Ovis aries: one gene and its partner. The protein of the gene in region 1 purifies or fractionates together with the protein of each later gene. This does not show direct contact. Links are inferred from orthologs where the notes say so. Each region holds a gene or a part of one and is shown on either strand. Other genes may lie near its edges. The genes, in order: SUDS3 and SAP130.

Region 1 (3,819 bases):
CAGTGGCTTTTCACAGGCTGGTTCTCCTAAGGGCCTTTCAGGCTACTCCCAGTCCCAGCTTACAGAAGAGACAGGCCCAGTGTTTAGGGTGCTTCATTCAGAGCAGCACTCAAGGGTCTTTGCTAGGCTGCAAAATAGAACTCTGAACTGGCAAGGCATTTTTGTTGTTGTTGTTTTTAAACATGGCAATTACTTACACATCCGTCCATGAGGTGAGTCTTGTGAAAGGAAACAAGATTCTTGCCACTCTAAATAATTCCCTCCTGAAAGCCACTATGGTCCGGAGAGAAGTTCTGAGTGTCTGAAGGCCTGGTGGGGCTGGTTGTGAATTTAGATGATTTGATCCCATTTTAGTTATCAGCGCTTTTAGCTTGACTCGATACATACCCCAGTAACCTGCTCTATCTCTTGATAAATATTTCTAGACATTTAATTTTTATAAATTTAAAGAGATTTTTCCAGTTCTTGCCCACTGGAGCTTCTTACTGTCAGTGGTGTTTTAGTCCTACCCCCAGTCACCTTGGGCACATCCTTAGCATGCCTGAGCCTCAGGTTTCAGTTTCTCTTCTGTGGGGAGGTTAATCTTTGCCTTGCCTGCTCGCAGAGTTGTTTTGAGGATGTGATGTACAAGAATTTTGTTGAATTTCCATTTATTACAACGGTAAGAACTTGAGGATCACGAGGACCCTTACCCCCTTTTAAATAGCATTTCACTTAAAGCATGTTAGTGAATGGACTCGCATGCTTGTGACATGCTTAGTCATGGGGATATCTCTTTGGTTCCTCCAGCATCCCCATCCTCTCCTGAACACTTGCCCACCACCCCTGCAGAGTCTCCAGCCCAGAGATTTGAAGCTCGGATAGAAGACGGCAAACTGTACTACGATAAAAGATGGTAAGTTCTGTGTGAACATAGGTTACTCATTAGTATCTCGAAAGAACCGTTTGGGAAGAGGGCCAGGTCTGTCTCTAGTTATTATTTCAGAGCATGGCTGCTGCTTAACTAAAGGTGGAGGGAGGTTAAGTGTGTCAGGAGTTTTGGATATCTGCTGCTTGTTAGATCTCTGAAGGCAGTGTTCCCCAAAACATGTTCTTCTGATCATGCTGCTGCCACCATGCTAGAACCTGCAGGCTTATATCTTTTGTGGTGCCCCTGTAGCCTGGGGTCAGGGTTTATGTCCCCCTCTGTCTCCCCTTAACTGGGCCCTCTGCATGCTGAAATTAATAGGGGTTCTGTGGAAGAAAAGATTCTGTGGTCAGGTGAGTGTGGGCCGTGGCTGTGTTAACTAATAACTAAGATCAGTGGGTTTCGTCATTGTAGCACTCTGGGTCTTCTGATACGCTAATGTACACTGTGAATTTATGAGATGTTACTCAGTACTGTTTATCTGACCAAGGTACCCTTTTACACAGGCTGTCCTGGTGGCTCAGTGGTACAGAATCTGCCTGCCAGTGCAGGAGATGTGGGTTCAGTCCCTGGGTTGGGAAGATCCCCTGGAGGAGGAAGTGGTGTCCCACTCTAGTATTCTTGCCTGGGTAATCCTATGGACAGAGGAGCTTGGGGGGATCGCAGAGAGAAGGACATGAGTGAGTGACTGAGCATGTGTGCACCCTGTTACACACCACATCCTGCAGCACAAGTGTTTCAGGGAATGTGCCTGGGAGAGGTGTAGCCTGAACCATTACTAGTTTAGATTGAAGATGGTTTGAAACCTTCAGGCCACCATTGAGGTCTTTGGAAGGAAATAGCAAAACAATATGAAAAACCTTATTCATGCATTTGCTCTTTTTGTAAAGGTTTCCTACTGTTTGCTCTGTGACTGGGCATCTGCTAGGTGTCAGGTCACCTGGACCCTGCCACCTTTTCTTTAAATTCTCAATTCTTCCTTTTATTCATTGCCCATGTGTAGGCATACTGTTGGTCAGGGTAAGTCATGGTGGACATGTTTTCATGCTGCCTTTCTACTTGTTTGTATGGAGAATGTTTCCCTGGGTTATTGTAGGGTCTCTGTAATTGCCATTTATAATGGTTATATAATGTTTTGAGTTTCAGTCTTTAAACCAAAATTCAAAAATTAGTTATGATTATTTTGAATGTTTTGAGGTTTCTTTAAAAAAAAAAAAAAAAAGCCCCAGTATTAAATGTGTGAAGTTGGTAAAAATGCTCAGAGACCTAGTGGTGCCTGAAGTAAATCAGTTCCACCCGTGAGGTTACAGTGAGTTAATAACCCAGTAGAGGATGAAGGCTGGATCTGTCTGTTAGCCTGATCTTGGTGACTTCTGCTCCTGTCATTTGATTCTTCGGTGTCCTTCTAAAAGGCCAGTTGTGTTGTTTTCTAGGGTTGCTTGTCAGAACACATCACCACTAGATGGCAGGCCCTGACAACTCAACACATCAAGGGGCAAAATAAGATGAAAAATGTTTCTAATAATGAAAACCAAATAACCTTTAAAGATCAAGCCCACACATAAGAACCATCTTCAAAAATGATGAGATTTATCACTAACATCTTTACGAATCTGTGAGTCCTAAAGCCCTGTGATATTTCAGATGATGTTCATTTTGTCATTGCGTCGCTTTCTGTCTTCCTTCTCCTAAGGCTTCGTCCTCAGATTTACAGGATATGAAAAGGCAGTAAAATAAAATTCTTTGTTTTTCTAAAGAAAGGATCCACAGTGACGGGGGTTTCACGGTGTAGACCGTGGTCAGGTGGGATGTGTCCAGCCACCTAAGCATTTGGAAGGCATTTCACTGTCTTTCTCCCAGTGGCAGCAGAGATCTTTCAAGTGTCTGGGAGCATCTGGTAATTTCAGTGACTTTCAGGCTGCTTACTCTGTGGTTAAGTATGATGACTGTTGTTTTCTGCATTCTTTGTGTTCCTCTTCTGTGGCCTTGCTGGTCAGAGTTCACGTCACATCTGCTGAGAGAGGGCCCCTCCCAGTCCGCTGGATCTGGCAAGTGTTTGCCAGAATCCTGGCTGATACAGTCCCAGTGCCGGACTGGCCTCTCACGTCTGACCAGGCTCATGATGTTTGGCTCCGTGTCCTTGTCAGTTTGGAGGCTCTCGTTCTTCCTTCTTTCTCAGTAGTCCTGGCCTATGGCCGAGAGGTCTGCTGAACTGCTTTCTGCTCTTGCCGGTGGCGTGAAGTATTTTTGTGAAACGGTATTTCTGGCAAAACACATTTCATTGAGTTTTAAATGACTTCAGCACAAGGAGTGTGATTTGGGCTGCCCATCTTGGCCTGAACACTTATTTATCAGGCTACGTTTCACTTGGGAAGATGAGCATCTGCCCTTGCCTCTGGGTATACTGCTTTTAAGATATTTTATGTCCTGCTGGAGGTTTTCCTCACGTTTTGATTTGTACTAATGACCCTCCTTAGAAAGCACTGTGAAAGTAGATGAGATTTTAAGGTGACTCACTGATGGTGCCAGTGGACTGTATTTTCTCCCCTCACTTTTAAATCTGGGGCTGCTAAAGTGAATCCAGTGAAACCACCCACGTGCACGGGTGGATTTAACCTTCCGGCCTGGCTTTTATTAATAACTCAAAGCAGTGACTCTTTCTTTATTTTTAATTGGAGGATAATTGCTTTACCGTGTTGTGTTGATTTCTGCTGTACAGCACCTTGTGTCAGCTATAAGTGTACGTATATCCCCTCCCTCTTGAGCCTCCCACCCCCACCTCCCCAGCAGTGCCTCTTTACAGCTGGAATTGGGACTTCTTGCAGTCCTGTGGTTGTAACATGGCATTCATTTTTTGGGGGAAATTAAAGCATTAATATCAGGATTCCCAGGAGGATACAAAATTAAATTAA
Region 2 (3,819 bases), on another chromosome or scaffold:
TGGAAAATCCCATGGAAGGAGCCTGGTGGGCTGCAGTCCATGGGGTCGGGAAGAGTCAAACACGACTGAGCGACTTCACTTTCACTTTTCACTTGCATGCATTGGAGAAGGCAGTGGCAACCCACTCCAGTGTTCTTGCCTGGAGAATCCCAGGGACGGGGGGGCCTGGTGGGCTGCCATTTATGGGGTCGCACAGAGTCGGACACGACTGAAGCGACTTAGGAGCAGCAGCAGCAGCATAGGTATATAATCTATATATTTTGCAAGGAATTGCTCCCTCTCATATTGTTCCTGAAAATTCACTTGTTGCAGAGGTGTTTTCCGTTTCATTCATTCATTTATTCATTCATTTATTAATTCCACAAATATTTATTGAAATTCTATGTAAGATCCTATGCTAGCTCTGCTTTAAAATTGACTTATAAACAGATGTTGCTTTCAACAAGCTGAGAGTCTAGTAAGGAGATGAGGTGTGAAAAGATACTATAATATGCTCAAGCTCACAAGAGAGACTTGAGCAAAGCCATGCTGTTTCTGAGTTAAGAGGTTATTTCTACTTGAGAAGGTCGGGTTGGAGGTCAGGAATGATTTCCTAAAAGAAATGACATTTGGGAAGCATCTTTCAGAATGGATAGGGCAGAGCCATGGTAGGACTGGAGAAAAGCACATTTCTGTCTCTGAATAAAGTATTAACTAAAATATGTGCTTGAAAAAACAGAGTGGCTTCGTTTTGGTGGAAGCCTAGTGTGAGTAAGAATGCGAAGTGTGGAATAAGATTAGATCTTGCTCAGTACTAGAGAGTCTCAATGCCTGTGCAGGAGACACAGGATCAGTCCCTGAGGTGGGAGGATCCACTGGAGGAGGGAAAATGGCAGCCCATATTCCATGGGAGAAACCCATGGATAGAGGAGCCTGGCAGGCTGCAGCCCACAGGGTCACAGAGAGTCAAACACGACTGAGCACACACGCACACACGGTGTGGGTGAGAATATAAAGTGTGAAATAAGATTGGGTCTTAAAAAGGCTTGTAGTAGTAACTAGACTGCAGGTTCTATAGCAGGCAAGTGACCAAAAACTGTTGTGTAACAGAAATACCATGGGTATACTGCTCAGGAGGAAACTAGAATGCTCTGGAAATTGTCTATGTGTGTATTCTACAAAGGAAGAATTGTACTAGAACAGGGACTTTTAAGTTTACGTGTTCTATCACTTCATTATTCTTAATGCATAATAACTTACCTTTTTATTTGTCATTTATAAAACATTTTTATTATATTATTAAAATTGAAGTATTTGTTGTTCAGTCACTGAATCGTGTCTGACACTTTGCCACCGCATGGACTGCCATGCCATGCTTCCCTGTCCTTCACTATTGCCCAGAATTTGCTCAAACTCATGTCCATTGAGCCATCCAGCCATCTCATCCTCAGTCATCCCCTTCTCTGCCTTGCCTCAATCTTTCCTAATATCAGGGTCTTTTCCATTGAGTCAGCTCTTCACATCAGGAGGCCAGAGTATTGGAACTTCAGCATCAGTCCTTCCAGTGAATATTCAGGATTGATTTCCATTAGGATGGACTGATCTCCTTGCTGTCAAAGGGACTCTGGAGAGTCTTCTCCAACACCAGTTTCAAAGCATCAGTTCTTCAGAACTCAGCCTTCTTTATGGTCCAACTCTCACATCTGTACATGTCTTACTGGAAAAACCACAGCTTTGACTAGATGGACCTTTGTCAGCAAAGTAATGTCTCTGCTTTCTAATATGCTGTGTAGATTTGTCGTAGCTTTTCTGCCAAGAAATTCTAAAATTCCAAAATTGAGATATAATTGACATACCTTAGTTTCGCATGTACAGCATAATAATTCATTATTTGTCTGTATTGCAGAATAATCACCACAGGTCTGGCTGGCATCTGTCACTATACAGTTCCAGATTGGTTTTTTTCTTGTGATGAGGACTTTTTAAGATCTACTCTTAGGAACTTCCAGATTTAACTGGTATATTTAACTGTAATCATTATGCTGTGCATTATATCTGCATAACTTAATGTCTTTAACTGGAAGTTCATGCCTTCTCGCTACCTTAGCCTGTCTCACCCGCCCTCTGCCCTTGCCTGTGGCACCACCGGTCTGTTTTCCCTATCCAGGGGCTCGGTTTGTGATTTTCTGCATTTTAGATTCCATATGTATGTGAGATCAGATGATGTTTGTCATTCTCTGTGTGACTGACTTCACTGAGCACAGTACCCTTGAGATTCATTCATATTGTCACAGATGGCAGTGTTTCAGGTTTTTTTCCTTTTTAATAGCTGAGTGTTATTCCATGGTGTGTGTGCATACCATGTCTTCTTGATCTACTCGTCCACTAGTGGACATGGATTGTTTCCATATCTTGGCTATTGTAAGTAACACTGCAGGGAACATGGAAGATACGTCTATCTTTTTCCAGATTTGTTTTCTGAGAAGAAAAGTCTTGTTTGTTTTCTTTCCACAAATAGTGAGAAATCCCTTCTTTTTTTGTTTCTTCCTGGGAATGTTTGTGTTTTCAGTTCTGTTGTTGAGTCAGTTTTTAATGTACACGGTAGCTGATTGAAAAAGGACAGGTTGATTGTTCTCTCTCCCAAGTGCATATTTTAGAATTTAAAATTAATAACTACTGTATTTCAGAAATTCCTCTGATAGTGGTTCTTCTATCAATTAAAGCAAAGATTCTTGACTTGGAGGCATGGATAGATCGCAAAAGTTTGTATTAATTATTTCATAGTTGCCTGGCTCACATTTGGCTTTTAATAAATGGTTGCTTTTTCTCATTTTAATGCTATTTCTGCAGAAAGATCATCTCAAATTAGTAGAAAGTAAGGTGGAGAAAACATCAATGCTTAGAGATTTATATAGCACTTTCTTTTTAAATTGAGAGTTTAGATCTTGAACGTGGAAAAATTGTTTTGATTTCTGAGTGTTTTTCTCCTTGAGTGAGTGAGTGAGTGAGTGAAGTCGCTCAGTCGTGTCCGACTCTCTGCAACCCCATGGACTGTAGCCTAACCAGATTCCTCTGTCCATGGGATTTTCCCGGCAAGACTACTGGAGTGGGTTGCCATTTCCTTCTCCAGGAGATCTTCCCGACCCAGGGATTGAACCCAAGTCTCCCACATTGTAGGCAGACGCTTTACCGTCTAAGCCACCAGGGAGCTAACATTCTTGTCACTTTCTGCATCATCTGTAGTTTCAGCTCAGGCTCCAAACTCTGCCATCACAGCTCAGACTGGAGTAGGGGTGGCATCCACAGTCCACCTGAACCCCATGCAGTTGATGACAGTGGATGCATCTCACGCTCGACATATCCAAGGGATCCAGCCAGCCCCCATTAGTACACAGGGGATCCAGCCAGCCCCCATTGGCACCCCGGGGATCCAGCCAGCCCCCATCGGGACACAGGGAATTCACTCAGCAACCCCCATCAGCACCCAAGGACTTCAGCCTGCACCAATAGGGACCCAGCAGCCTCAGCCCGAAGGAAAGACTTCAGGTAATTTTAATTTTTTACATGGAACTTGGTATGGAGAGAAAAGATACGTAGGGTTTAAATAATGGTTCTGCCACTTGCTGGCTTTGTGGTCTCAAGTAACCTCATTAAACCGTAGTTTCCTCTTTGGAACATGAGTTGCTTAGAACTTACCTGTCAGGACCGTTGTAAGCATTAGAAACTGCATATGTAAATAGCTTAATAGGCATTTGCATAGGGGGAGAAGCACTCTTAGTTGAGAGGGTAGATTCACCCTTATAAAGGTAGTATATACATTCCGTTTTAGGATTTTCTTTT

Evidence for each region.
Region 2: the proteins of SUDS3 (region 1) and SAP130 purify together in Homo sapiens (affinity purification with western blotting; 3 studies listed by BioGRID, with this or other methods). This does not show direct contact. The link is inferred for Ovis aries from reciprocal best matches to the Homo sapiens genes SUDS3 and SAP130.

The regions. Positions count from the first base shown.
Region 1 is NC_056070.1:56,874,476-56,878,294, reverse strand, and holds part of SUDS3 (sin3 histone deacetylase corepressor complex component SDS3), read left to right. Parts: intron 1-789; coding exon 790-895; intron 896-3,819.
Region 2 is NC_056055.1:117,480,384-117,484,202, forward strand, and holds part of SAP130 (histone deacetylase complex subunit SAP130), read left to right. Parts: intron 1-3,222; coding exon 3,223-3,525; intron 3,526-3,819. UniProt on the Homo sapiens protein: Acts as a transcriptional repressor. May function in the assembly and/or enzymatic activity of the mSin3A corepressor complex or in mediating interactions between the complex and other regulatory complexes.